4 linked regions of the Saccharomyces cerevisiae S288C genome follow. The gene in region 1 interacts genetically with each later gene. Each region holds a gene or a part of one and is shown on either strand. Other genes may lie near its edges. The genes, in order: MYO5, BZZ1, SHE4 and ARC40.

The links.
Region 2: mutations in MYO5 (region 1) and BZZ1 together harm fitness more than expected from each alone (negative genetic interaction), as found in Saccharomyces cerevisiae (4 studies listed by BioGRID, with this or other methods).
Region 3: mutations in MYO5 (region 1) and SHE4 together harm fitness more than expected from each alone (negative genetic interaction), as found in Saccharomyces cerevisiae (3 studies listed by BioGRID, with this or other methods).
Region 4: mutations in MYO5 (region 1) and ARC40 are lethal when combined (synthetic lethality), as found in Saccharomyces cerevisiae (3 studies listed by BioGRID, with this or other methods).

The regions. Positions count from the first base shown.
Region 1 is NC_001145.3:484,985-492,494, forward strand, and holds MYO5 (myosin 5), read left to right. Parts: upstream 1-1,602; coding exon 1,603-5,262; downstream 5,263-7,510. Other genes in the region: ILV2 (acetolactate synthase catalytic subunit), read left to right, coding at 1-1,163; HFD1 (hexadecenal dehydrogenase), read right to left, coding at 5,410-7,008; EUC1 (Euc1p), read right to left, coding at 7,420-7,510. UniProt on the Saccharomyces cerevisiae protein: One of two redundant type-I myosins implicated in the organization of the actin cytoskeleton. Required for proper actin cytoskeleton polarization and for the internalization step in endocytosis.
Region 2 is NC_001140.6:334,790-340,484, reverse strand, and holds BZZ1 (Bzz1p), read right to left. Parts: upstream 2,403-5,695; coding exon 501-2,402; downstream 1-500. Other genes in the region: ubiquitin-conjugating protein DMA1, read left to right, coding at 1-376; APE4 (aspartyl aminopeptidase), read right to left, coding at 2,676-4,148; YHR112C (putative cystathionine beta-lyase), read left to right, coding at 4,822-5,695. UniProt on the Saccharomyces cerevisiae protein: Plays a role in endocytosis and trafficking to the vacuole. Functions with type I myosins to restore polarity of the actin cytoskeleton after NaCl stress.
Region 3 is NC_001147.6:395,766-402,315, reverse strand, and holds SHE4 (She4p), read left to right. Parts: upstream 1-2,211; coding exon 2,212-4,581; downstream 4,582-6,550. Other genes in the region: CYC2 (oxidoreductase), read right to left, coding at 1-761; SNAP receptor PEP12, read right to left, coding at 1,102-1,968; YOR034C-A (uncharacterized protein), read left to right, coding at 4,648-4,890; putative palmitoyltransferase AKR2, read left to right, coding at 5,230-6,550. UniProt on the Saccharomyces cerevisiae protein: Required for mother cell-specific ho expression. Might be required for the transport of factors (such as ASH1) that promote HO repression from the mother cell into its bud.
Region 4 is NC_001134.8:684,868-690,180, reverse strand, and holds ARC40 (Arc40p), read left to right. Parts: upstream 1-3,588; coding exon 3,589-4,743; downstream 4,744-5,313. Other genes in the region: VHC1 (Vhc1p), read right to left, coding at 1-3,280; DAD3 (Dad3p), read right to left, coding at 4,920-5,204. UniProt on the Saccharomyces cerevisiae protein: Functions as a component of the Arp2/3 complex which is involved in regulation of actin polymerization and together with an activating nucleation-promoting factor (NPF) mediates the formation of branched actin networks.

The sequences.
Region 1 (7,510 bases):
AACCTGTCTTATACGTCGGTGCTGGTATTTTAAACCATGCAGATGGTCCAAGATTACTAAAAGAATTAAGTGACCGTGCTCAAATACCTGTCACCACTACTTTACAAGGTTTAGGTTCATTCGACCAAGAAGATCCAAAATCATTGGATATGCTTGGTATGCACGGTTGTGCTACTGCCAACCTGGCAGTGCAAAATGCCGACTTGATAATTGCAGTTGGTGCTAGATTCGACGACCGTGTCACTGGTAATATTTCTAAATTCGCTCCAGAAGCTCGTCGTGCAGCTGCCGAGGGTAGAGGTGGTATTATTCATTTCGAGGTTAGTCCAAAAAACATAAACAAGGTTGTTCAAACTCAAATAGCAGTGGAAGGTGATGCTACGACCAATCTGGGCAAAATGATGTCAAAGATTTTCCCAGTTAAGGAGAGGTCTGAATGGTTTGCTCAAATAAATAAATGGAAGAAGGAATACCCATACGCTTATATGGAGGAGACTCCAGGATCTAAAATTAAACCACAGACGGTTATAAAGAAACTATCCAAGGTTGCCAACGACACAGGAAGACATGTCATTGTTACAACGGGTGTGGGGCAACATCAAATGTGGGCTGCTCAACACTGGACATGGAGAAATCCACATACTTTCATCACATCAGGTGGTTTAGGTACGATGGGTTACGGTCTCCCTGCCGCCATCGGTGCTCAAGTTGCAAAGCCAGAATCTTTGGTTATTGACATTGATGGTGACGCATCCTTTAACATGACTCTAACGGAATTGAGTTCTGCCGTTCAAGCTGGTACTCCAGTGAAGATTTTGATTTTGAACAATGAAGAGCAAGGTATGGTTACTCAATGGCAATCCCTGTTCTACGAACATCGTTATTCCCACACACATCAATTGAACCCTGATTTCATAAAACTAGCGGAGGCTATGGGTTTAAAAGGTTTAAGAGTCAAGAAGCAAGAGGAATTGGACGCTAAGTTGAAAGAATTCGTTTCTACCAAGGGCCCAGTTTTGCTTGAAGTGGAAGTTGATAAAAAAGTTCCTGTTTTGCCAATGGTGGCAGGTGGTAGCGGTCTAGACGAGTTCATAAATTTTGACCCAGAAGTTGAAAGACAACAGACTGAATTACGTCATAAGCGTACAGGCGGTAAGCACTGAATTTCAAAAACATTTATTTCAAAAGCATTTTCAGTAAAAAATGCAGACTTTATTATTATTTAATCGTGCTTCTTATATATGACATTCTACCAAATCGGTAGTCATGTATATTTTTTTCGTATATACTTTATATATTTTTTTCTAAAAAACTAATGACGGCTAAAATTAAGTCATAGATGAATAATAAGTTCAATTCAAGTGAGTTGGTAGTATTTGATAAATCTAAAGTGGATACGTAGCATATGTATTCAAATGGTGTGTTTTAACTCGTCGGACACGACTTCTTTCTCGTTTTGTCAATCATCAAAAATATTTCTCGAAAAGGGGCCGTCAAAAATTGCAAGCTTGGAAAATACAAACTGGACTATGTATTTAAAGGTTATAGTTTATAATAAAGCATAAGAACAGTGGCCAATACGAATTTAACCGCTTTATAGAAATGGCTATCTTAAAAAGAGGAGCTAGAAAAAAGGTACATCAGGAGCCAGCTAAACGCTCTGCGAATATCAAGAAAGCTACTTTTGATTCCTCGAAGAAGAAAGAAGTTGGTGTGTCTGATCTGACGCTTCTTTCTAAAATCTCCGACGAAGCCATAAATGAAAACTTGAAGAAGAGATTTTTGAATGCTACAATCTACACTTATATAGGTCATGTGTTAATTAGTGTCAATCCATTCCGAGACCTCGGAATCTATACTGATGCTGTTATGAATGAATACAAAGGTAAGAATAGATTGGAAGTTCCACCCCATGTATTTGCAATTGCAGAGTCTATGTACTACAACATGAAATCATATAATGAAAATCAGTGTGTTATTATTTCAGGTGAATCAGGTGCCGGTAAAACTGAAGCAGCTAAAAGAATTATGCAATATATTGCGGCTGCTTCTAGCACACATACGGAGTCAATTGGAAAGATTAAAGACATGGTTTTAGCCACTAATCCATTGTTGGAATCTTTTGGCTGTGCAAAGACTCTAAGAAATAACAACTCTTCTAGACATGGGAAATATCTAGAAATAAAATTCAATAACCAGTTTGAACCATGTGCTGGTAATATCACAAACTATTTATTGGAGAAGCAGAGAGTTGTGAGTCAAATTAAGAATGAAAGAAATTTCCATATATTCTATCAGTTCACGAAAGGTGCTTCCGATGCTTATAGGCAAACATTTGGGGTCCAAAAACCGGAACAATATGTGTACACAGCTGCTGCGGGTTGCATATCTGCTGAGACAATTGATGATTTGCAAGATTATCAAGAGACATTAAAAGCTATGAGAGTTATTGGTCTCGGTCAAGAAGAACAAGACCAAATTTTCAGGATGTTAGCTGCAATTCTTTGGATTGGTAATGTTTCCTTTATAGAAAATGAGGAGGGGAATGCGCAAGTTAGGGACACCTCAGTAACCGATTTTGTTGCTTACTTGTTACAAATAGATAGCCAATTGCTGATTAAATCACTTGTGGAAAGAATTATGGAAACCAATCATGGTATGAAAAGAGGGTCAGTGTATCATGTTCCATTGAATATTGTCCAAGCAGATGCGGTTAGAGATGCTTTGGCAAAGGCTATTTACAATAACTTATTTGACTGGATTGTGAGTAGGGTTAACAAATCTCTGCAGGCTTTTCCAGGCGCTGAAAAATCCATTGGTATTCTTGATATTTACGGCTTTGAAATTTTTGAACATAACTCTTTTGAGCAGATTTGTATCAATTATGTTAATGAAAAGTTACAACAAATCTTTATTCAATTGACATTGAAATCTGAGCAAGAAACTTACGAGAGAGAAAAAATCCAATGGACCCCAATTAAATACTTTGATAACAAGGTTGTGTGTGATTTGATTGAGGCAAGAAGACCACCTGGTATATTTGCAGCAATGAATGATTCTGTTGCAACTGCACACGCGGATTCAAATGCTGCTGATCAGGCTTTTGCTCAGCGTTTGAACTTGTTCACAACAAATCCACATTTTGACTTGAGATCTAACAAGTTTGTTATTAAGCATTATGCCGGTGATGTCACATACGATATTGACGGTATTACAGATAAAAATAAGGATCAATTACAAAAGGATCTGGTAGAATTAATTGGTACCACTACCAATACATTTTTAGCCACCATTTTCCCGGATACTGTAGACAGAGAATCAAAAAGAAGGCCACCTACAGCAGGCGACAAAATTATAAAGAGTGCAAATGATTTGGTTGAAACTTTATCAAAAGCACAACCTTCATATATCAGAACAATTAAACCAAACGAAACCAAATCTCCTAACGATTATGACGATCGGCAAGTTCTACACCAGATTAAGTATCTAGGTCTGCAAGAAAACGTGCGTATCAGAAGAGCAGGTTTTGCATATAGACAAGTGTTTGAGAAGTTCGTGGAAAGATTTTATTTATTATCTCCACACTGTTCTTACGCTGGTGACTATACATGGCAAGGTGATACCTTAGATGCTGTTAAGTATATATTGCAAGATTCCTCTATCCCACAGCAGGAGTACCAATTGGGTGTCACAAGTGTTTTCATCAAAACACCTGAAACATTATTTGCTTTGGAGCATATGAGAGATAGATACTGGCACAATATGGCTGCCAGAATCCAACGTGCTTGGAGGAGATTTTTGCAAAGAAGAATTGATGCGGCCACTAAGATCCAGCGCACCATCAGGGAGAGGAAGGAAGGTAATAAGTATGAGAAGCTCCGGGATTATGGTACGAAGGTTTTGGGTGGAAGAAAAGAAAGAAGGTCTATGTCCTTATTAGGTTACAGAGCCTTCATGGGTGATTATCTATCATGCAACGAGTCCAAATCGAAGGGCGCTTATATCAAAAGACAAGTGAGCATTAAAGAGAAGGTCATCTTTTCCATACATGGTGAGGCCTTGCATACAAAATTTGGCCGTTCTGCACAAAGATTGAAAAAAACTTTCCTATTAACTCCAACTACATTGTACATTGTTGGTCAGACTTTGGTCCAAAATGCTATGACCTATACTCAGGATTATAAAATCGATGTGCGAAACATTCAAGCGGTTAGTTTAACCAATTTACAGGATGATTGGGTCGCCATTAAGTTGGCTAGCTCAGGTCAACCTGACCCCTTAATCAACACATATTTCAAAACAGAACTCATAACGCATCTGAAAAGGCTTAACGACAAAATTCAAATTAAAATAGGCTCGGCGATAGAGTACCAAAAGAAACCTGGAAAGTTGCATTCAGTGAAATGTCAAATCAATGAATCTGCACCAAAATATGGCGACATATATAAATCCAGTACAATATCAGTTCGTCGTGGTAACCCACCTAATTCTCAAGTGCACAAAAAACCGAGAAAAAAGAGTTCAATCTCTTCAGGATATCATGCTAGTTCCTCGCAAGCAACGAGGAGGCCAGTTTCGATTGCTGCAGCCCAGCATGTTCCCACCGCCCCGGCTTCTAGGCATTCTAAAAAGCCTGCCCCTCCACCACCAGGAATGCAGAACAAAGCTGCTACAAGAAGATCTGTTCCTAATCCTGCTTCCACTCTCACTGCATCCCAAAGTAATGCCCGTCCTTCTCCCCCTACTGCTGCCACTCGTGCTACACCCGCTGCTACACCCGCTGCTGCCGCAATGGGCTCTGGTAGACAGGCAAATATCCCTCCACCACCTCCTCCACCCCCACCCTCTTCAAAGCCAAAAGAACCCATGTTTGAAGCGGCTTACGATTTTCCTGGTTCAGGATCACCATCTGAGTTACCTTTAAAGAAAGGAGACGTAATTTACATTACAAGAGAAGAACCAAGCGGTTGGTCTCTCGGGAAACTTCTGGATGGCTCTAAGGAAGGTTGGGTGCCAACAGCTTACATGAAACCACATTCCGGAAATAATAATATCCCTACTCCTCCTCAAAACAGGGATGTTCCTAAACCCGTTCTGAATTCTGTACAACATGATAACACCTCTGCAAACGTTATTCCAGCTGCAGCCCAAGCAAGTTTGGGTGATGGTTTGGCGAATGCGCTTGCTGCTAGGGCCAATAAAATGAGATTAGAGAGTGATGACGAGGAGGCTAACGAAGATGAAGAGGAAGATGATTGGTAATCAAAATGTATTTAGCGAGTATATACTCTATACGAGCAAATAGAGTAAATTGTAATTAATAAATATTGATATATTATCGCCCATATGAAATTTTTAAACGAAAGGTTACTTATACATCAAATAATTAATTAACCTTAAACATTACGTTCAGGAAGAACAATGAGCGTAAATGGTACTAATTAAAATAACGGCGGCAGATAATGAAAAATATTGGCGTAACCCCCACTTGTTATTGCCATTTCTGTCAAACCAAGGTTTTCTTTCCATCGCAAAACGGACGAGCTTTTCCTTTTGTGCGCTATTTGGAGGGTATCTCATAAAAAGGGTAAAATCATTCCAATATGGTTGTTTAAAAATTGTTCTTTCATGACTAAAGGTATTGAATCCATAATATCCACCATAGTTACCATAACCTGAAGTACCGATCCCTCCAAATGGAGCGTCGGTAATTCCTACATGAATCACTGTATCACCGACAACACAGTCACCAGATCTTAAGCGCGTCAAGATACGATTTATTTCAGTTTGGCTATCAGAGAATATGTATTGCACCAATGGAGTGTCATGTTCTTCTATTATCTTGTTAATGGTCTCATCAAGATCCTCGTACTCAATGATGGGCAATACAGGAGCAAAGTTTTCCTGTTTCATCAAAGGATCATCCCAACCAATGTTATAAACTATGGTTGGTGGTACAAGGCATAGATCCTCAGTATCTGAATTGATAGAAATTTTTGAAGGCACAATCTTGGAGCCGTTAGTTGAGTTTATACTTGCAACGGCCTTTTTGTAAGCAGGCTCATGAATCATACGAGTGAAATCTGTTTGTTCATCAAAGCTTGGATAAAATTCATTTAGTACTGATTCACACTCTTTAATGACTTTTGGATAGATAGATTTATGTACTAACAAATAATCTGGTGAAACACAAATCTGGCCAGAATTTCCGAAAGCACCAAAAAAAATCCTTTTCAAAGCAATTTTTATGTTACTTGCTTTGAAATTTTCTGTAATAAAGGTAGGTGATTTACCACCAAGTTCAAGTACACAAGGTGTTAGACTTTTTGCTGCTTTCTCAGCAACTATTGATCCGACACGGGGAGAACCTGTGTAGAATATTAGGTCAAATTTTCCACAATCTAGTAGTCTTGTAGTTTCATCTATAGCTCCCTGAACTACTTGAATCAATCCATCAGGGAAACCAGCTGTGGTTAACAAATTTTCCATAACTACAGCAGTGTGTGGTGTTAGTTCACTTGGCTTCAGAACAATGGTGTTACCTGCAGCAAGAGCTGCTGCCAATGGGGCAAATGCTAAAAGTAGGGGAAAATTGAAAGGAGCAATAATCAAGACACTGCCCCTTGATATTTTCTCCACGATTGTTTTACCAAACATAAATGGAGGAGAAGAATCAGATACTCTCCGAGGTTTGATCAATTTTGGTAAAATCTCAATTAGGTGAAGTATATCGTTCATAAGTTTGGTCGTTTCATTCAGAACCGATTCAATTTTGTTCCGATGAAAGTCCTTGTACATAGCATCGATCAGTTCTTCCTCATGATCTTTGACGGCATAATAGAGTTTTTTCAACTGCAACTGCCTGAATTCTAGATCTTTTTTCCTTGGGTTATTTTCGTGGGACAATTTCAATTGTTTCTCAAAGAAGAAATTTCTTGAGATTTCAACTATTTCATCTATTTTAGACACTGGGGTATAATTCAATATTTTTGAGCCGTCGTTTGACATGTTGGTGATAAATTACTATGGCTATGGTTTTAGAATATTCCTTTTAGATAATCAATATGCCTGAAGTTTTGTTTTTTATATATGGAGTATCCGTTTATCCCTAAAATCCGAAGAATCTCCTCCTAAAACGACAAAAAAAAGGGTAAGCAATCCACCATCTAATTAAATCACTAATATTAGATTGAATTTTCGAACCTATCTAAAAGTGGGATCTTGATGTAAAATTGACTGATAGATAAAAGGCTTGGAGTCGATAGTTGATATATCAGTACACCGGTAATTGTCTATTATATACCCTGTTGGCATGAAATCCATATAGGACGGTATATATTTATATATAAAATGCATGTAAAAATCTTTCATCATGAACTACTCGGAATTTTTGGCTGGAAATTCGTTGTTCCATTTCCTCTAAGTGTCTTGATCATGTTCTGGTGTGCCTGTACTGGAATTTGGTATACTATGTGGCTGCTGTAATGATAATCTAGCTTCTCTCTCTTCT
Region 2 (5,695 bases), on another chromosome or scaffold:
ATTGAACAAGTCTTGGAAATTAAAGGCCAATGCATTTAATAAAGAAGCCTTGAGCCGAATAAAAAATCTACAGAAACTAACTACTGGTTTAGAACAAGAAGACTGTTCCATTTGTCTAAACAAAATAAAACCTTGCCAAGCCATTTTTATATCACCATGTGCCCATAGTTGGCATTTTCATTGTGTAAGAAGATTGGTTATTATGAATTATCCTCAATTCATGTGTCCGAACTGTAGGACAAACTGTGATTTGGAGACTACCTTGGAATCCGAATCTGAATCCGAATTCGAAAACGAGGACGAAGATGAGCCAGACATTGAAATGGATATAGACATGGAAATAAATAACAATTTAGGTGTTCGCCTAGTAGATTGATCACATGAAATTTTGTGCTATATATATATATATATATATATATATATATAACATAGAGTCGTCATACCTCTCAAAAAAGTGGCGGCCAGGGAAAATATTTAATAGTTTCAGTTCATTCCTTCGTTCATTTACAGTAACTTGTAGGAAATAGACCTTTCAATCCGTCACATTCACCATATGTCCACCCGCTACCGTCATCGCCTCTGATAACAGTAATTATGTCCCCCGGATCAATTGAAATCTCATCATCTCCCTGTGCTTCGTAGGCATATATGGCCTCCATCGTCCTAACAGGTAGTGTACTCCTTCTTGGTGGTGGTACTTCTGGTGCAGGGCCTCTATCATTTGCTTTAACTGTAGCCGCGCTAGATATGCGAATATATGTGGTGGGTACAAGGCCGGTTTCCCCAGTGGTGTCGTTATTTATCTTAGTCCATCCAGAACCCGTATCGCGTGCAACCAAAGAGATTTTGTCTCCTGGCGTAATGGTGATTTCGTCATCATCCTTTTGTACGTATGCATACAACACTTTATTCTTGCCGTCATCACTGGAATTTTGTGTGGTCTTTTTTGTATTGTTGGTACTAGTGGTGCGTATAGAATTATTATCTGAATCTTCACCAGCGTTGTTAGGGGCAGAGCCTAGCCTAGTTCTTCTTGATGTGTTGAAGAGACTTGTTATATGCAAGGGTCCTCCGTTGCCATTACCAGTGCTCCCTCCACTCGAAGGCTTCGAGTCGACGTTCAGGATGTTGTGTTTGAACTTACTGAATATCCCGGATTTCTTCTTTGTTTTGGAAAGATCAATATTGTCTGTGGATAAATCGTATTCTTCAGGAACATTATTCTGAATACTTTCGATTTGAACTTCGGCTTGCAATTTTAATGTTTCGTGTGAGGTAAAGGGTGAAACGACATTTAAGTATTCCTTTAGTGTATCATAAAACTTAGTGGCATTGATATTATCTTCATTAGTTTTCATTTCGTGCTTTATCTTGTTCAAAGTAGACAGTTTGGATAACTCATTTTGAGTTTTATCTTGCAATGAATTGTAATCATTTTCTGCTTTTGCCAGTTTTATTCTCAAGTCTTCAACTTCCAACGACGAGGGAACAGCAAATTTTTCATCATCATGCCATACTGGAGATGGCTTATAGACAAAGTCTTGTGGTTCTTTCCAATTCTTTAGATTGTGCTTGATAAAGATGGCCGTGTTTAAAGAGGGTTTATTCTGCTTGACAACAGAATTTGCCGCCTGGAGTCTTTTGCTGACATTTGCACCCAGATCGTTCTCGACAGAAGCCGCCTTCAACCACAGATCATTTAAGAAAAGGGTCTTTGCCTCATTTACGTCTTGTAGAAGATCTAGCACTTCAGGAACATCTTGAAAATAGTATTTATCCTTAGTTCTATTTGCCTGGTTGATCTTGATTAAATATTCATTTTTACACTTGTTCATCTCCATTTCTTTTTCATCCAACTTCTTTTTATTTCTATCATTAGATGCCTTGGTATACCTATTTCTTGCCATTTCCATAGTGGAACAGGCTTCATCATAGTCCTTCTTCGCTTTTTCCAGTTCGTGGTAAATGTTATCCTTTTTATTAACCATGTCATTGTTAAATCCATTTATCTTGCTCAAAGTCATATCAAGTTTAGTGAATAATCCACTCAATTGATTTGCTACATGATTTTCAAAGTCGGTTGATAACTGATCATGATCCTTGGAAATCATATCAGTCTGAGATAGAATTTCATTCCATGCAACCACACCTGCAGCTTCAATGGACCCTGGCGTGGTAGTAGGTGTGTCACCTACCGAGATAGGAACTGAGGTCGAAGACTTCTTATTAAAGTACTCTGCTGATAAGCGAGATAATCTCTCGCTGTAGTCTTTTTCTAACTTAGCCCTTTCCCGATAAAATTGCTCAATGTCCTTCAACCATTTTAAGTTATTTTGGACCCATTTATGGGTTTCCTTAAATGAATCTTTAATTTCATTACCAATCGATAAATCTGCACTCATTTTTATTGCAAGTAATGTAGTAGTTGGCGTTTAAGGATAGATTTCCGCTCATACAAAATTGATCAATCTGCTACCTTCTTCAAAAACTATTTGCGTACAAACTAAATCTGTCTATTCCTTTGCTAAGCGTATATTCTTTTAAAAACTTTTTATTTTTCTGAAGACCCCGCGAAAGCTTATGTAGATCACAAGATATTATATATATTTACTATTTGTAAAATACAAAAGAGGGCAATAAATATACCGGATTATGAATCATCTAACAATTGCAGTTTAGACAACAATTTCAGATTCTATGGAAGTGTAGCGTTCAAAAAATTCCTTAAATAACTTGATTTGGAACTCCAGGTCTGCAGAGCCACCGGTCTCTCTAATCGAATGCATACTCAACACAGGATTACCCAAGTCTAGAGTTCTAATACCTGTCTTTGAGGCCAAAATGGGGCCGATGGTAGAACCGCATGGTGAGTCGTTAGCTACGACAAACAATTGCAAAGGGACTTTAGCAGCCTCTGCTAGTCTTTTCACCAAGACCAACCCTGGTGAATTGGTCATGTAACGTTGATTCGCGTTAATCTTGATTACGGGACCACCACCCAATAAGGGTTTGTGTTGGCTTTCGTATTTGTTTGCATAGTTTGGATGAACTGCATGAGCAACATCAGATGAAAGGAAAAACGACTTAGCGGAAGTTTCCAATATTGCCGAGTGAAACAAAGGTTTAGTTTGATCAGAACCGTCCCCCTTCAGGATGGACAACCTTTCCAATATATTAGGCAAGAAGTTAGAATCTGCCCCTTGGGCGGAGGATGAGCCAATCTCCTCATGATCAAAGCATGCCATCAATCTAATGCCTGATTCTCGGTCAATTTCTGTGTCAGCCGCCAACGTTAAACCGTGCATTGATGTGAAACAAGATGTCAAATTATCCAATCGACCAGAGAAGACAAACTCATCGTTGAACCCACCTAGAGTGGATGCATTATGATCATAAAGGATCAATTCGAAGTCTTCAATGTCTTCAATTGTATCAATGGCGAGTTCTTTGGCTATTAGCCCCAAAAGTTCTGCGTGATGCCTCTGTACTATCGTTTTTATGGAGGTAAACTCACCGTTATTAATTTCCTTTTCAGTTTTCGCTTCAGTTTTGTCTTCTTGCAGACCACCAATCGGCAACAGTTGAGTTTCTCTATTAAACTCGAATTTTTGATTTACGTCTCTGTCCAGATGAATAGCCAAAGTAGGAATCTTTAACAGAGGTCTATTCAAATCCACCAATCTAGCAATGGATTTGCCAGTTTTCGCATCCTTTACGAAAACTCTTCCGGCAACGCCCAAATCCTTATCAAACCATGAATGCCAAATAGCGCCACCATAAGTTTCCACGCCCACTTGTAAATACTTCTCACTGACTCTTTTAGAAATAGGCTTAATCCTTAATGCGGGGGAGTCGGTGTGAGCACCCGTAATGGCAATTGGATTACCAGGCTCCCACTTTCCACCAACAGCAAACGCAATAATGGAAGAGCCATTTCTTGTCACAAAGTACTTTCCTTTTTGTGCGACGTGGCCAGCCCACGAGTCACGTTCGCTCAACTCTTTGAAGCCATTTGACACCAGATGCTTTTTGATGTTATGAACTGTATGGTAAGGAGAGTGTGAGCTATTTAAGAAACTGACAAACTCCTTTGGGTAATCACTCTTGCATGTTTTGCTGGACATAGTTCTCAGTTGTATCCTGAACATAGAAAAGCTGAACCTTTTATTCTTTCTTTTTACCTACTTGCTCACATAACATGAATTTTTTCTTTCATTCATACAGGAGGAAAACGCCCTTTTTTCTTTCATTTAAGAGCGTGGAGATATCTGCAACTTTTCAGCAAGTATGATAAGGCTAAAATGATAAGGAATAGAAAACCGTAGCCAGAAACTAGTATCTCGAAAGCCAAGGCAGGCTTCTGTTGCAAAAATAAGCAGACCTTAAACTAAAGGAGTTTACTCCTTGGCGGAACACTGAATCACATTATATACGTAAGTTGAACGGGACTATTTATCACGTGTGATTATGTGGTCTCCATGTCAGTCGCAATATTTACAGTATATATAAGGGAAAGAGGGCCAGTTGTAATAATTGTAGTACGTGAAATAACTGTTTCTGAAGTCCTTCACATACGCTTTGGTACGGGATTAACCACTTACTGATAGACCTCAAGGATATCTTGTGAGTTCTTGTCAAATGGTGAAACTGTGGTTTCTATTTTTTTGCGGTGTTTAATTCAGAGTGCGATCACTTGATGGGTTTATGCAACACGCGATATATAAGCATATTGCGCAACAATAGATCGTTGCAATCCCTCCATCTCTTCAAATGTTGTAGTACATGCTATAAAGGAAAGATTGCACGAAAAGAGTACGTAAGATGGTGGACTTGTCAACAGCTTTGATTCATGGCGATGATAAAGATAACAGGGTTACTGACGTGGCGCCCCCAATTAATGTCTCTACAACCTTCCGTTACGACGATGACGACCTAATTCCATGGACAGAGCGTGAAAACTTGGACTTTATGGAGAAGAAGCCCGTATATTCACGGCTAGCGCATCCAAATAGCACCAGATTAGAGAGTATCTTCTCAGAGATCCTCGATGGTTATGCTGTCATTTATTCTTCAGGGTTAGCTGCGTTCTATGCGGCAATGGTACATTACAACCCTAAGAAGATCTTTATCGGACAGAGCTACCATGGTGTTCGAGCAATTGCTAACATATTGACCCGTAATTACGGCATTGAGCAACACCCCTTGGAAGATATTGAAAAATGTGCTTCTGAAGGTGACATTGTCCATCTGGAATCTCCTGTAAACCCATATGGTACCTCTTCTGATATCGAGAGTTTGGCCCGCAGAGCTCATGCAAAAGGCGCCCTGCTTATAGTGGATTCCACATTCGCATCTCCTCCATTGCAATACGCATGGAATTTCGGAGCCGATATTGTCCTATACTCTGCTACTAAGTACTTTGGTGGTCATTCTGACTTGTTAAGTGGCGTCCTTGTAGTCAAAGAGGAAGCAACTTCCCGACAACTAAAAGACGACAGAATCTACTTGGGTACAAACGTGGCAAATTTGGAAAGTTTCATGTTGTTGCGATCCCTGAGAACCTACGAAATGAGAATAACCAAACAATCAGAAAATGCTACGAAATTAGTTAGATTTTTGTCAGATCACCAATCTGAATTTGACAAAGTATTGAAGACGATTTACCACTCTTCTTTACAAACAGAAGAGTTCGTTA
Region 3 (6,550 bases), on another chromosome or scaffold:
TCCGTATGAAATAACTTTATAGTACCTCTAAATGGTGATTCAGTCAAAAGTAGTTGCAACGCAGTAACTATTCCGGTACCAGCGGTGAACATCATTATGTCATAAGGCTGGTAAATAAATTGGGAATTTTCTCTAACGTTATTGCCCCTTTCATTGCGATTATCCATGTATAAACAATCGCGAGATCTTTTTAGCTCATTAGGCAAATGAGGAAACTCATAATCGATAAACGGGCCTCTTATTTCAATTATATGTCCCTTGGGAAGATGGTGTAACCATCTTGCAACTTCTCCATTCTCATACTTCTTAATATAGAAAGATAATTTTCCATCTGCATTGTCACCATCTTTTAAGATTTCAATCTCTTTTGAAGCTGGGTTAAATTTAAGCGGTAGAGGCGTATAATTGCGGACCACCATGACTTCCGGTTGTTTGATCTCGACGGACCACAGATTTTCCGCAGTCATCAATGACCATATGTTAACTTTCTGCTTAAACAACGGAGTTACTTCCAATAAAAAATGTGATGAATCAATATCTCGCTTGTGTGAAATCTTGTACTTGACAAAATAAGATGGAGATAACTCATGTTTGTTTTCCCTCTCACTTGTGTACCTGTAGGTTAAATAACTGCTTACTGCTCCAACTGTCAGTAGGCAGCCTGTGATAAAAAAGTTCTTAGAGAAGCTGCTCTTTCTAGGTGACTTATGAAGCCTACGTGTTATTCGGGAACTGGATAGAACATAATTTTTCCACAGCATGCTACTTTTTCTTTTTTTCGTTTCCTCTTTTCTATTTTTGAAGGGTTCTTTCAACACGTTGCACTCTTCGAAGTTGTATTTTTCACTTGGGTTAAGTGAATTTTCACTCTTCATTAGGGTATGATGATATTAACAACATTTCAGAAGGGCAAGGAAAGGCGAAAAACTGAATTATGGAATATACTCTCTCTTTGCGGCTGGTTAAGATGCGACGGCGTAGAAATATTATGAGAGAGCCCATGCATTGTACAGTGAAAGTGCAAAACAAGTTCATTAACACGAATCTGTTTTAAGTGTATATATTATGTATATGATATTTGACGACGTGTGTTGGTTTGGTTTACAATTTCATAATGAGAAAAATAAAAAGAAGCATTACGAGAAGCACAATCAACAAATACACCCTCCATCTGCTCGTACGTTTTTGGTACCGCATGGCCTTCCTTAGCTCGTCTGAAGCCAATTGAGTGTTATCTGACGTTGTATAAATATTTGCTTCAATATTGTCAACTAGCACACCCTGCTGTTGAACAACACTTCCCAAATCTTTAAAAACTTCGTTCAGTTCCGTTATACCTCTTTCAATATTGCTGATTTCCTGGTCTCTTTGCTCGATAAGATTTTGCTGATAAGCAAACTCTTCGTTATTTATCGGGTCTCTCTCAATGACTATTTGGCTGCCTGGTATTCGAGTACTTTTTGAGCTATTCTGCCTTTGTTCTTCATCTAATAAAGCAGCATCATTTGCCATCTCACTTGCTTCAAGAGATTCTTTTGCTCTTTCATTAACTTGTTTCATTACTTGGGTAAACTGCCGCTGAATACCTTGAAACTCTTGAAAAGAGTAACTGACATCCCTCACAAGTTTCTCTCTCGCTATTATTTGAGTCTTATCCAGGCTAGCTTCCTCAATCGCATCCATCTTTTTCACTGATGTATTGACCTTTTTAATGAGCCCGCCTATTTCTTCTATCTTTGCCACAGATCTCTTATTAATTCTTTCCACAACTTTCGCACTAACATCTCCCCGATCTATAAATGACTTAAGTGTCGCGGTAAACTGCTGCAGCGTGCTTATTTGCCCATTTATTTCAAATAACTCTGCAGCAACCTCTTCTTTCAACGTTTGGAACTCAGGTGAATCACTGAATCTGGAACCGTTCCAAACGGCTTCATTATCACCACCAAAAAATTCGTCTTCCGACATCTCAACACAATTATTGTAGTAATTTACGTTATATTCTTCTATAAAAGCATTCTCTTTGGAGTGATAGCAGGCCTGTTTTATAGGGGATTATACTCTGGCGCAGTAGTTCATCGTCGATCATGATGATTATCAGCCGCGATAAGGCACGAAGGCTTAAATCCAATTACGAATCTTCTACTTAATAGTGAAGACGTTTTATCTAAACTACTCACATGAAAAGATTACTAAAAAATTAGAATCACGATGCCACTGTGTGAGAAAGGGAATGATCCAATCGATAGCTCTACTATTGATAGCCTCTGCGCTGCATTTGACAAGACTTTGAAATCCACCCCTGATGTCCAAAAATACAATGATGCTATAAATACAATTTTCCAGCTAAGGCAAAAATCTGAATCTGGGAAAATGCCGGCTGATTTAACGAATAGTGAAGCCCTTAAAGATCGTCAGAAAATCGAAGAAATATTGACCAGGTCTTACCAAGACCATTCTGAGTCCCGCGTACATTTATCTAAACTTATACAGAATGATATTCCCTTCGCACTCAATTTATTTGAAATATTATCAAGATCATCCATCCACGTTTTCGTTGGTTGCTTTTCCAATAAAGACGCAACAATTGCATTGTTAAATGAGCTGCAAATTAGGATACACTATGGCGAGGACACCCACGTCACGTATTTACTGAGCATAATTCTACAACTATTGAATAAGTTCAAGTACAATTTCAAGGAGGTGCGATTTTTAGTGAAGGAACTTATTTTGCGCATAAGCGAAGATGAAGTAAAATCGATGATGCTTATAATTTTTGCTGAATTACAATCAAGCTTCCAAAAAGACTTTGATAAAGCAGTGGTCGATTTCATGAGTAGCTTAATTGTGGAGGCAGAAATAGACGTTGGAAATGATCCATTGTCCATCATAGTCAAAACCCTATCAGAATTATATCCTTCATTGACAACACTTTGTTCTGAAATATTTTTGACCAAAGGACTAAGTAAGCTTTTTAAGAAGAGAGTATTCGAAGAGCAGGATTTACAGTTTACAAAAGAACTGCTGCGGTTATTATCTTCCGCGTGTATTGATGAGACCATGAGAACGTATATTACAGAAAATTACCTTCAACTATTGGAAAGATCACTAAACGTGGAAGATGTACAAATATATTCTGCATTGGTGTTAGTTAAGACATGGTCTTTCACAAAATTAACGTGTATAAACTTGAAGCAACTGTCCGAAATCTTTATAAACGCTATTTCAAGACGTATCATGCCAAAAATTGAAAATGTCAATGAAAGTGCGGTTAAGCTCGAGGAGGTTCCTAAAGTTGAAATGTCCGTTGAAGCGCTGGCATATTTAAGTCTAAAGGCCTCGGTTAAGATTATGATTAGGAGTAACGAGAGCTTTACTGAAATTCTATTAACTATGATTAAAAGCCAGAAAATGACGCACTGTTTATATGGTCTCTTAGTTATCATGGCAAATTTGTCCACTTTACCAGAGGAATCCAATGGTAGTTCACAGTCTATCAATGACTTAAAAAATTACGCAGATTTGAAGGGCCCAGGCGCAGACAAGGTAGGCGCAGAGAAAGAATCAAAGGAAGATATTCTTTTGTTTAACGAAAAGTACATATTAAGGACCGAGCTGATTTCCTTTTTGAAGAGGGAAATGCACAATTTGAGCCCCAATTGTAAACAACAAGTGGTTAGGGTTATATATAACATAACCCGCTCGAAAAACTTCATTCCTCAATGCATTTCACAAGGTGGTACAACTATCATCTTAGAATATTTGGCCAATAAGCAGGACATAGGGGAGCCAATACGGATTCTAGGGTGTCGGGCATTAACAAGAATGCTAATATTCACTAATCCGGGTTTGATATTTAAAAAATACTCTGCATTAAACGCTATCCCCTTCTTGTTCGAATTGTTGCCAAGGTCTACGCCAGTGGATGACAATCCGTTACATAACGACGAACAAATAAAGCTGACAGACAATTACGAGGCACTATTAGCTCTGACGAACTTGGCATCATCGGAGACCTCTGATGGTGAAGAAGTTTGCAAGCATATCGTATCTACAAAAGTATATTGGTCCACGATTGAGAATCTGATGCTAGACGAAAACGTTCCTTTGCAAAGATCAACATTAGAGCTCATAAGTAATATGATGAGTCATCCATTAACGATTGCTGCTAAGTTCTTTAACTTGGAAAATCCTCAGAGTTTGAGAAATTTTAATATATTGGTGAAACTTCTTCAGTTATCCGACGTTGAGTCTCAACGAGCAGTGGCTGCTATCTTTGCTAACATTGCCACCACGATTCCATTGATAGCTAAGGAACTGTTAACCAAGAAAGAACTAATCGAAAATGCTATTCAGGTATTTGCGGATCAAATTGATGACATTGAGTTAAGACAAAGGTTACTTATGCTTTTTTTTGGATTATTCGAAGTGATACCGGATAATGGCACTAACGAGGTGTATCCGTTGCTGCAAGAAAATCAAAAATTAAAGGATGCTTTAAATATGTCTTTAAAGAGAGGCGATTCAGGACCAGAGTTTTCAGCGGCAATTCCCGTTATCCTTGCTAAAATTAAAGTCTAATATGGAAAGAATCGCCATGTTTAACTCTTCTTAATTTTCACTAAGAAATACAACAGCACCCTGATAATGAACACACAAGAACTATGTAAGATTTTCGTAGCCAGAGAATATCCTCTGGTAGTGGTGCCCTTTATATATTTTGTTCTATTTTTACACCAGAAGTATCACACTACTCTAAATTATGTCTGGTACCCTACGTGTTCTAAAAGAATCTGGGTGAGAGAAAAAGGAAGAAAGTGCTCCTTTTTTTTTTTTTCAAAGGTGCCTCGGTCCGATGGCTTCGCAAACAATAGATGCCAAAGGAAATGATCTTCTCTTTTTCGCTTCTTTATTTTTTTTTAAGTTACGACTTCGTGCAGCCTGGGATGTACCAAGCTTGTTGTTAAACGAGCCTGACTTCTTAATCGCTTAATCTTAGTTGAATTTAGTAGTTCCAGTTTGTATGGCTGCTATTTTTGAGTATTTGGAATCATCTTTCGTTCAGCGATCTTTTTATCATTCACTTTGTCGTTTACAATTAGAAAGCGTCAAAACTTTGCATTTTTCATTTAATAATAACTGAACTCCACCAACTTTTTACTAGCAAGTTGTAAAGTTCATCGGTCAGATAAACATCTTAATTACCTGTGAAATACTCTACTGTTTCTTATGACCAGTATGTCAATTATTGATGATGAGAACGTGAAAAAAACTTCTAATGGGGCAGCTGTTGTCACTGATGTGGCTCAACACGCTGTAAGTGATTCGGACAATAACAAAGCGCAACTTCTAGGCGATGGATCCAACACTGAATATGTGGTTGATATTTTCATTGAAGCCGCTAAGGATGGGGATTTAAAAGTGGTGAAGGACGTGGTCGAAAGTGGAGCAGTGGATATTAATAACGACCGCATTGATGAATTATCCGGCTTACACTGGGCCTGTATAAACAATAGGTTTTCTGTAGCAAAGTTCCTATTACTTAGGGGAGCAAATCCTAACCAGGCGGCAGGCCCCGGAGGGGCTACTGCTTTGCACTGGGCCGCAAGGTACGGTAATATCTACATTGTTGACCTGCTTCTCAAACATGGCGCTGATCCGACGCTCAAAGATGAGCAGGGTCTTAACATCATGCATTTTAGCGTTTACAGTTCTAACATTTTACTTGTTGTTTATGTTCTTTATTTTGTCGTAAACAACAATGACAACGTCGATATCGATTCAAAAGATAACAATAACAGAACACCCCTACTTTGGGCTGCTTATCAAGGAGATTTTCTCACTGTAGAACTTTTATTGAAATTTGGCTCCACAGTTGCATGGACGGACAACAGAGGGTTCAATGCTCTCCATTGTGCTCTAGTTGGAGGTGATCAAAGGGTCATATGTGACTTAATACTTAGCGGTGCAAATTTCTACGAAAGGAATAACCAGAAGCAAGACTGTTTTGATCTAGCCGAAGGAATGGGAACCAAATCACTTTTTGAACAAGCGTTGCAACATCATGGATATGACAGGCTTGGAAATCAGAAAGACAAACTGTTCAAGAAAAGCTCGCATGCACAATTCACAATTTTTTTGTCACCATTTTTACTCATGGTTTACATATACTTAATTTCTCTCGTTCTTTCTCCAGTGCTAGCCATTATGCTTTCCCTACTGGTCACTGTTGTCATGGTCAACACATTAAAGAAGTTTGTATTACCATGCCTTCCCAGAAAAAACACTTACAAAGTTTCTTTGACTAGAACTCCCTTTTTCAGTGGCCTCTTTCTGTCCACTTTCTGTTTTTTAATATATATATGGACGAAGAAACTCTATCCATATAGTGTATCTGACTATACCATGAAAAACGTCCAGTTTTTGGTTACTTCCTTTCTCACAGTTGTACTATTTCTGAGATTAGTACGGTCAGATCCTGGTTGTCTGAAAACGGATGATAGTTTGACTTCGATACAAGAAACAATAAAACAACTGATTGACTTAGGGA
Region 4 (5,313 bases), on another chromosome or scaffold:
CGACATATTGTAAACTTGCATCGTGATCTTCATGTGTTCCAAGAGCTGGAACTGGCAAGGTTGAAAAAATTAAATCCGAACTCTTTGACATTTGTGTCATCACATCATTCAGAACCAAATGTTGAGCAGTGCTGGGAAGATCATTGAAACCTAAATTTTGCATCGCTGTGACTAAACTATCTTTTGAACAACAAGGTGATAATTCGGGAAGAACCGGTTTCTTTAATTTGTTGCCGTTGCCAATACCGCTCCCAGTACCGTTCCCATTCGAAAGGTCAGGTTCGGCAATTGGGATCAGTGTCGGCTGTTCACCCGTGCCATCTTCCACGACTCTCGTCCTCGGCAAAGTATTACTCGAGAAAACGGGTCTTAACGACTGTGTTGACACATCGCTTTGTAAATTCTTTACGAGTAAATTTGTTCTGTCGGAACCGGTCTTCGATTTGGTCGTTAAGTCCTTACCTACTGAAATATTAGTCGATGCCGAGAAGGCATCACGAATTGACGTAAGATCTGTATCCAAATCGGAGTCCTCACTCTCGCATGGGGTATCAATGCGGTTAGTTGGCATTCTCGTATTCATTGTAAATGAGACACCCAATTTCTGAACCCCAGACGTATATTTTCTTGATTGTGTAAATTGCTTTGCTATCGTTTGAGGTTCAATAGTGGAAAACCTCCGCTTCGGTTTTAATGTATCACGAGCTTCAACCAAATCTTTCCACCATTCATTATCGGCCAATTTCGAGTTGACATAATCAAACACGATTGGGTCTCCCTTGACAATTGTGTTGTATACTCTGAATTGATCTAAAGATACTACCAAAACCTCTGCGTCAATTCTTAGAACCTGTAATAGCTTTTTCATTCGTTGAGTTTCGTTCGTTCTATGATATTCTTGTTCCACAAATAAAATAACTCGAAGCGAATGTGTGCGCTTCCATTCAGGAACAGTAACCAAAATGGCAGCTAATTGTAGAATCAGTGTATACGTATCAAAGTTAGTAGTGATAGCCGCAGGCTGGTCACCCTTTGCCTCAACTTTTCCGCACATTTGGATGGGATAAAGATCTATAGTTTTTTTTGGAAAGCAGCTGTCCCTTTTGTTCGGTATCTCTAAATTTTTGAATCCATGCGCTATGGCAATATTGGATTGCATCAGTGATAGATCTTCTACAATTTGAACCCATTGTTGTACATTAACTTTGGTTTCATTTTTACACTCATCCGTAGGCAATGGAACATTGATTTTGACATCAGAGCATGTACTACGTGGCACTGTAGCTTTTATTTCCACCTGTTTCTGAAGGTTATTTTGGCTGCGACTTTGTGGGATGTGCTTTCTATAACTTTCGAGGTCAAAAAAACCGACAACAGTAATGTTTGGTTTCATACCTCCAAGCCCGGAACCAATAAAAACATTCCTAATTCCCCATATAAGGGAGGGACCAGTCCCAACTTGGACAAAAGCCTTTATTGCTGCCATGTCTCTGATCTTCATCCAAGCTTTCTGCTGAGTTTTTAATTCATTTAGTTGCTTCGGAAAATCCGCAGTTACTGCAACATGGCCTAAAATATACAAACCACCTTTTTTCAAATGATTGCAAAACCTTATTAAGTTCCAGCTCGTCCTTGGATTATCTACAAACAGCAATATTTGAGGCCTCCAGTATTTAATATTGTCTTGACGTAGGCGAAGCAAATACTTTCTCACTTGATGATATATTAAACTTTGAGACACATCACCCCAAGACTTCGGTGGTGAAAAATAATGAATGAATAAAAATAGCAAAATCATAGCCAAAAACAAGACAGACGCTGAGATGCCATCAACTATTAACATCGCAACAACAGAAAGTAATGCGCCAATTGCTGTAGTATACCTGTTAAAGTATTTGAAAGAGGGCCTGAAATTGGGAGCAGAGGAAATACCTAATAGGAAGCACGCCAAATTCATGACCACAAACGTCATTAAGAATGTCATTGTGATAAATGTGGCGATTTTATTGACGTCTGAAAACAAACATAGCTGTGTTAGAATCCAAGTAAAAATCAATGAATATAACGGTGAATGAGCAAAAATCTCCAAACCAGGAATAATGTTATCCTTTGCAATTGCTTCTAATACATAAGCAGCACCGAGCATCCCCACTATGATGGAGAAAAGAGAAGTAGCCATTTCACCCATGAATATAACCCACTGAACGGAACTGATCGTCTGTATAATTTGTACTTCATCATATAACGATCTTCTGGGAATGGAACAACCCATGGAGAAGACAACAACGGCATAACAGATAAAAGTGAAAAGTAAACCCCATAAGGTACCCTTAGGAATTGATTTAGAGGGCTTTCTCAATTCACTTGACATTCCTGCGCCCGCGAATATACCAGCTGTAGCAGGAAAAAAAACGCCAAATAAATCATTGAATGTTTCCTTACCTTTGAGTAACGAACCTGCTGCACCTTTTGTTAAGTGAGGGAGCAGGTTATCATGAAAAGTTTGCCATGAAGGACCTGTATAACTGATACCGCCTTCAGTGAATGGCGATCTTATCAATGCAGAAAGTGGAATGGAAAATATAGAAGCTGCCAGTACCAAAAAAAGAATATTCCCTGCTCTTGACACTGTTTGCGAGCCAACAAAAGCCACAGAAAAACATAAGAAAAGAATGACCGTGGCATATGTAAATTCGTGCCAATGCCCTCTTGGTAGTAGCTCTCCCAAAGCTGCAGGTGGCTCGCCTTGAGCAGAATAACCCAAGTTATAGAGTAAAGGTTCGATAATACCCACTGCGTTCATACCTGCATTGAACACCTGCCCTAAGAAAAAGACAAGCCCAATGGATCCACCAAATTCAGGTCCTAAACTTCTTGAAATCATATAATAAGCACCCCCGCCCCTAACAGTCCCGTTTGTAGATATAGCAGATATACTTAACGTGGTGAGAAGATTAATAGTGTAACTCAATAGCAGAAGACCGATGGTGCATATAATACCTAACTGACCCAAAATGAAGCCAAAACGAAGAAACATAAGGATAGACAATACGTTTAAAGCAGTAGGCACAAATACCCCATCGTATGTTCCCAACTTATCTTTGTTTGGGTTATCAGGATCATACTTAGAGGAAACTTTTTGGCATTCAGGGGTCGCCTGATAATTGAAATATGTTTGACTTATTCTCCTTGCAGACAACAGTGAAGAAGATTCATTTGAAGAAGATATTGCCGACGATGGCCGATGCGTACCTGGAATCTGATAAAACCTACTAACCATTAATCCTACAAGAAAGGCCTATTCTTAAAGAGAATTGGCTGGCAAAAACACTGTCTCTATCACTTCTTCGACAACAAGCACAACCATTTCTTAGATTTCCTTGTTACTCTTTAACAACAATGTTGATAATGAATCCTACGTTATCAGTTGCACAATTATCAAAATCTTCTTGTCACCCGCCCGCGCCTTGCCTATAATGAAAAAGGGTCAAATAAGAGCAATCTTGATCGAGAAAGCTTCCAGATTAGAAACAAAGAAAAATAGGAAAAATAAGCCGAAGTAAACGTATATTAGTTGAGAGTCTCCTAATGTCATTTTCCAATTCTAAAGACAAGTCCGTTGTTGCCGTCTACAAGCTGGTCAAAGCGCCAATCTACTCTCATTGCTTTTCTCAAGATAAATCTATTTTAGCCGTTACATGCGAAACAGATTGTCTTGTCTATAGAGTTTCAAACAACACACCTCCCGTTTTATTCGCAACGTTGAAAGATCATGATAAAACCATTACTGCTGTGGACATTTCCATACATGGTCGTATTGTGACTTGCTCCCAAGACCGTAATGCTTACGTTTGGGAGCCATTGAGTGATGGGACATACAAGCCCACGTTAGTACTTCTTCGTATTAACAGAGCAGCTACTTCAGTTACATGGGCACCAAATGGTTATAAGTTTGCTGTTGGGTCCAGTGCTAGAATCATCGCTGTTTGTTATTACGAACACGAGAATAATTGGTGGGTATCCAAGCACATCAAGAAACCCATCAAATCTACCATCAATTGCCTGTCTTGGCATGCAAATGGAGTCCTATTAGCTGCTGGTGGTACTGATGGGTTTATGCGTGTGTTCAGCGGGTTTATCAAGGGTTTGGATTCCAAGGAATCCGTCGCCGGATCACCCTGGGGCCAGAAATTCCCTTTTGGTTGTTTAATCAGGGAGTGGTATCAGGGTTCTTATATCCATGATGTGGAATGGAGAAGTCAGATGGAAAGAATTGCTTATGTAGCGCATGATGGTACTTTGAATGTTGTCGATTACCAATCTCCAGTGCAATCTGTCAATGCTCCGGAAGGTTTACCTTACAGGTCCTTAGTATGGATAAACGACCACGAGATTGTTTGTGGAGGATACTCTTGTCATCCGGTATTGTTCAGCGAAGCCTCTGAAGGCTGGAAATTTGCGAAGAATCTAGACAAATCAGACAATAACAAGTCTTCTGCCTTAACTGCATCTGGTAATACAGACGAGCTGAGTGGTAATAATGATGAAAGTTCAACTTTCGGTATTTCCGCATTGAGAAAGTTTAAAGAATTAGACTTGAAAGGTAAAGTTAGCACAGATGTCCAAGAAAGTGCACATGAAAACGCCATTGTGGAATTAAGACCTTTTGCGGAATCCAACGGCCAAATCACACAAGTCTCTTCCTGTGGGTTAGACGGTAAGATCGTCATTTATACAATTTAAATATACATACGTATATATATATATTGTTATGTGTATTCCCTACCTCATAATACACCTTGAGTTTGTATTGTTTTTTTCTTCACTTGGCATATACAGACTATATTATTACAACTCACAGCACAATGTAGTGTACCGTAAAAAATAAAGCATCAGAATCAATTTCTTGCACCAAACCATTATTTAGAATTGCTACCCAAAGACTCCTGTTCTTGCTTTCTTTGCAAGATAAGCGAGTACACGCTACCTTTTAGCAGTGTCCCAACTAAACCAATTTTGACCTCTATGTCCCTCATCTCCTGTAGTATCTCATCTGGCGATACAGTTTCTTGCTGTGAATGCTGTTGCCTGTGTTGCGAATAGTTTAGTTCTTTTATAGTTTCATCCAGAGCTTTTAGATCTAAAGAAAGCTGTTTGTATTTGTCCAATACTTCTTGCTGTAAAGGTGAAAGATTGTGTTCCATACTGTGACTACAACGCCGTGTATGTTTCACAGCGACTTTGACTGGCTACTGTAAGCTCTTCTTTTGTATTCTTTGGAATAGTTTATTTACATGTAATTACTGTAATAGC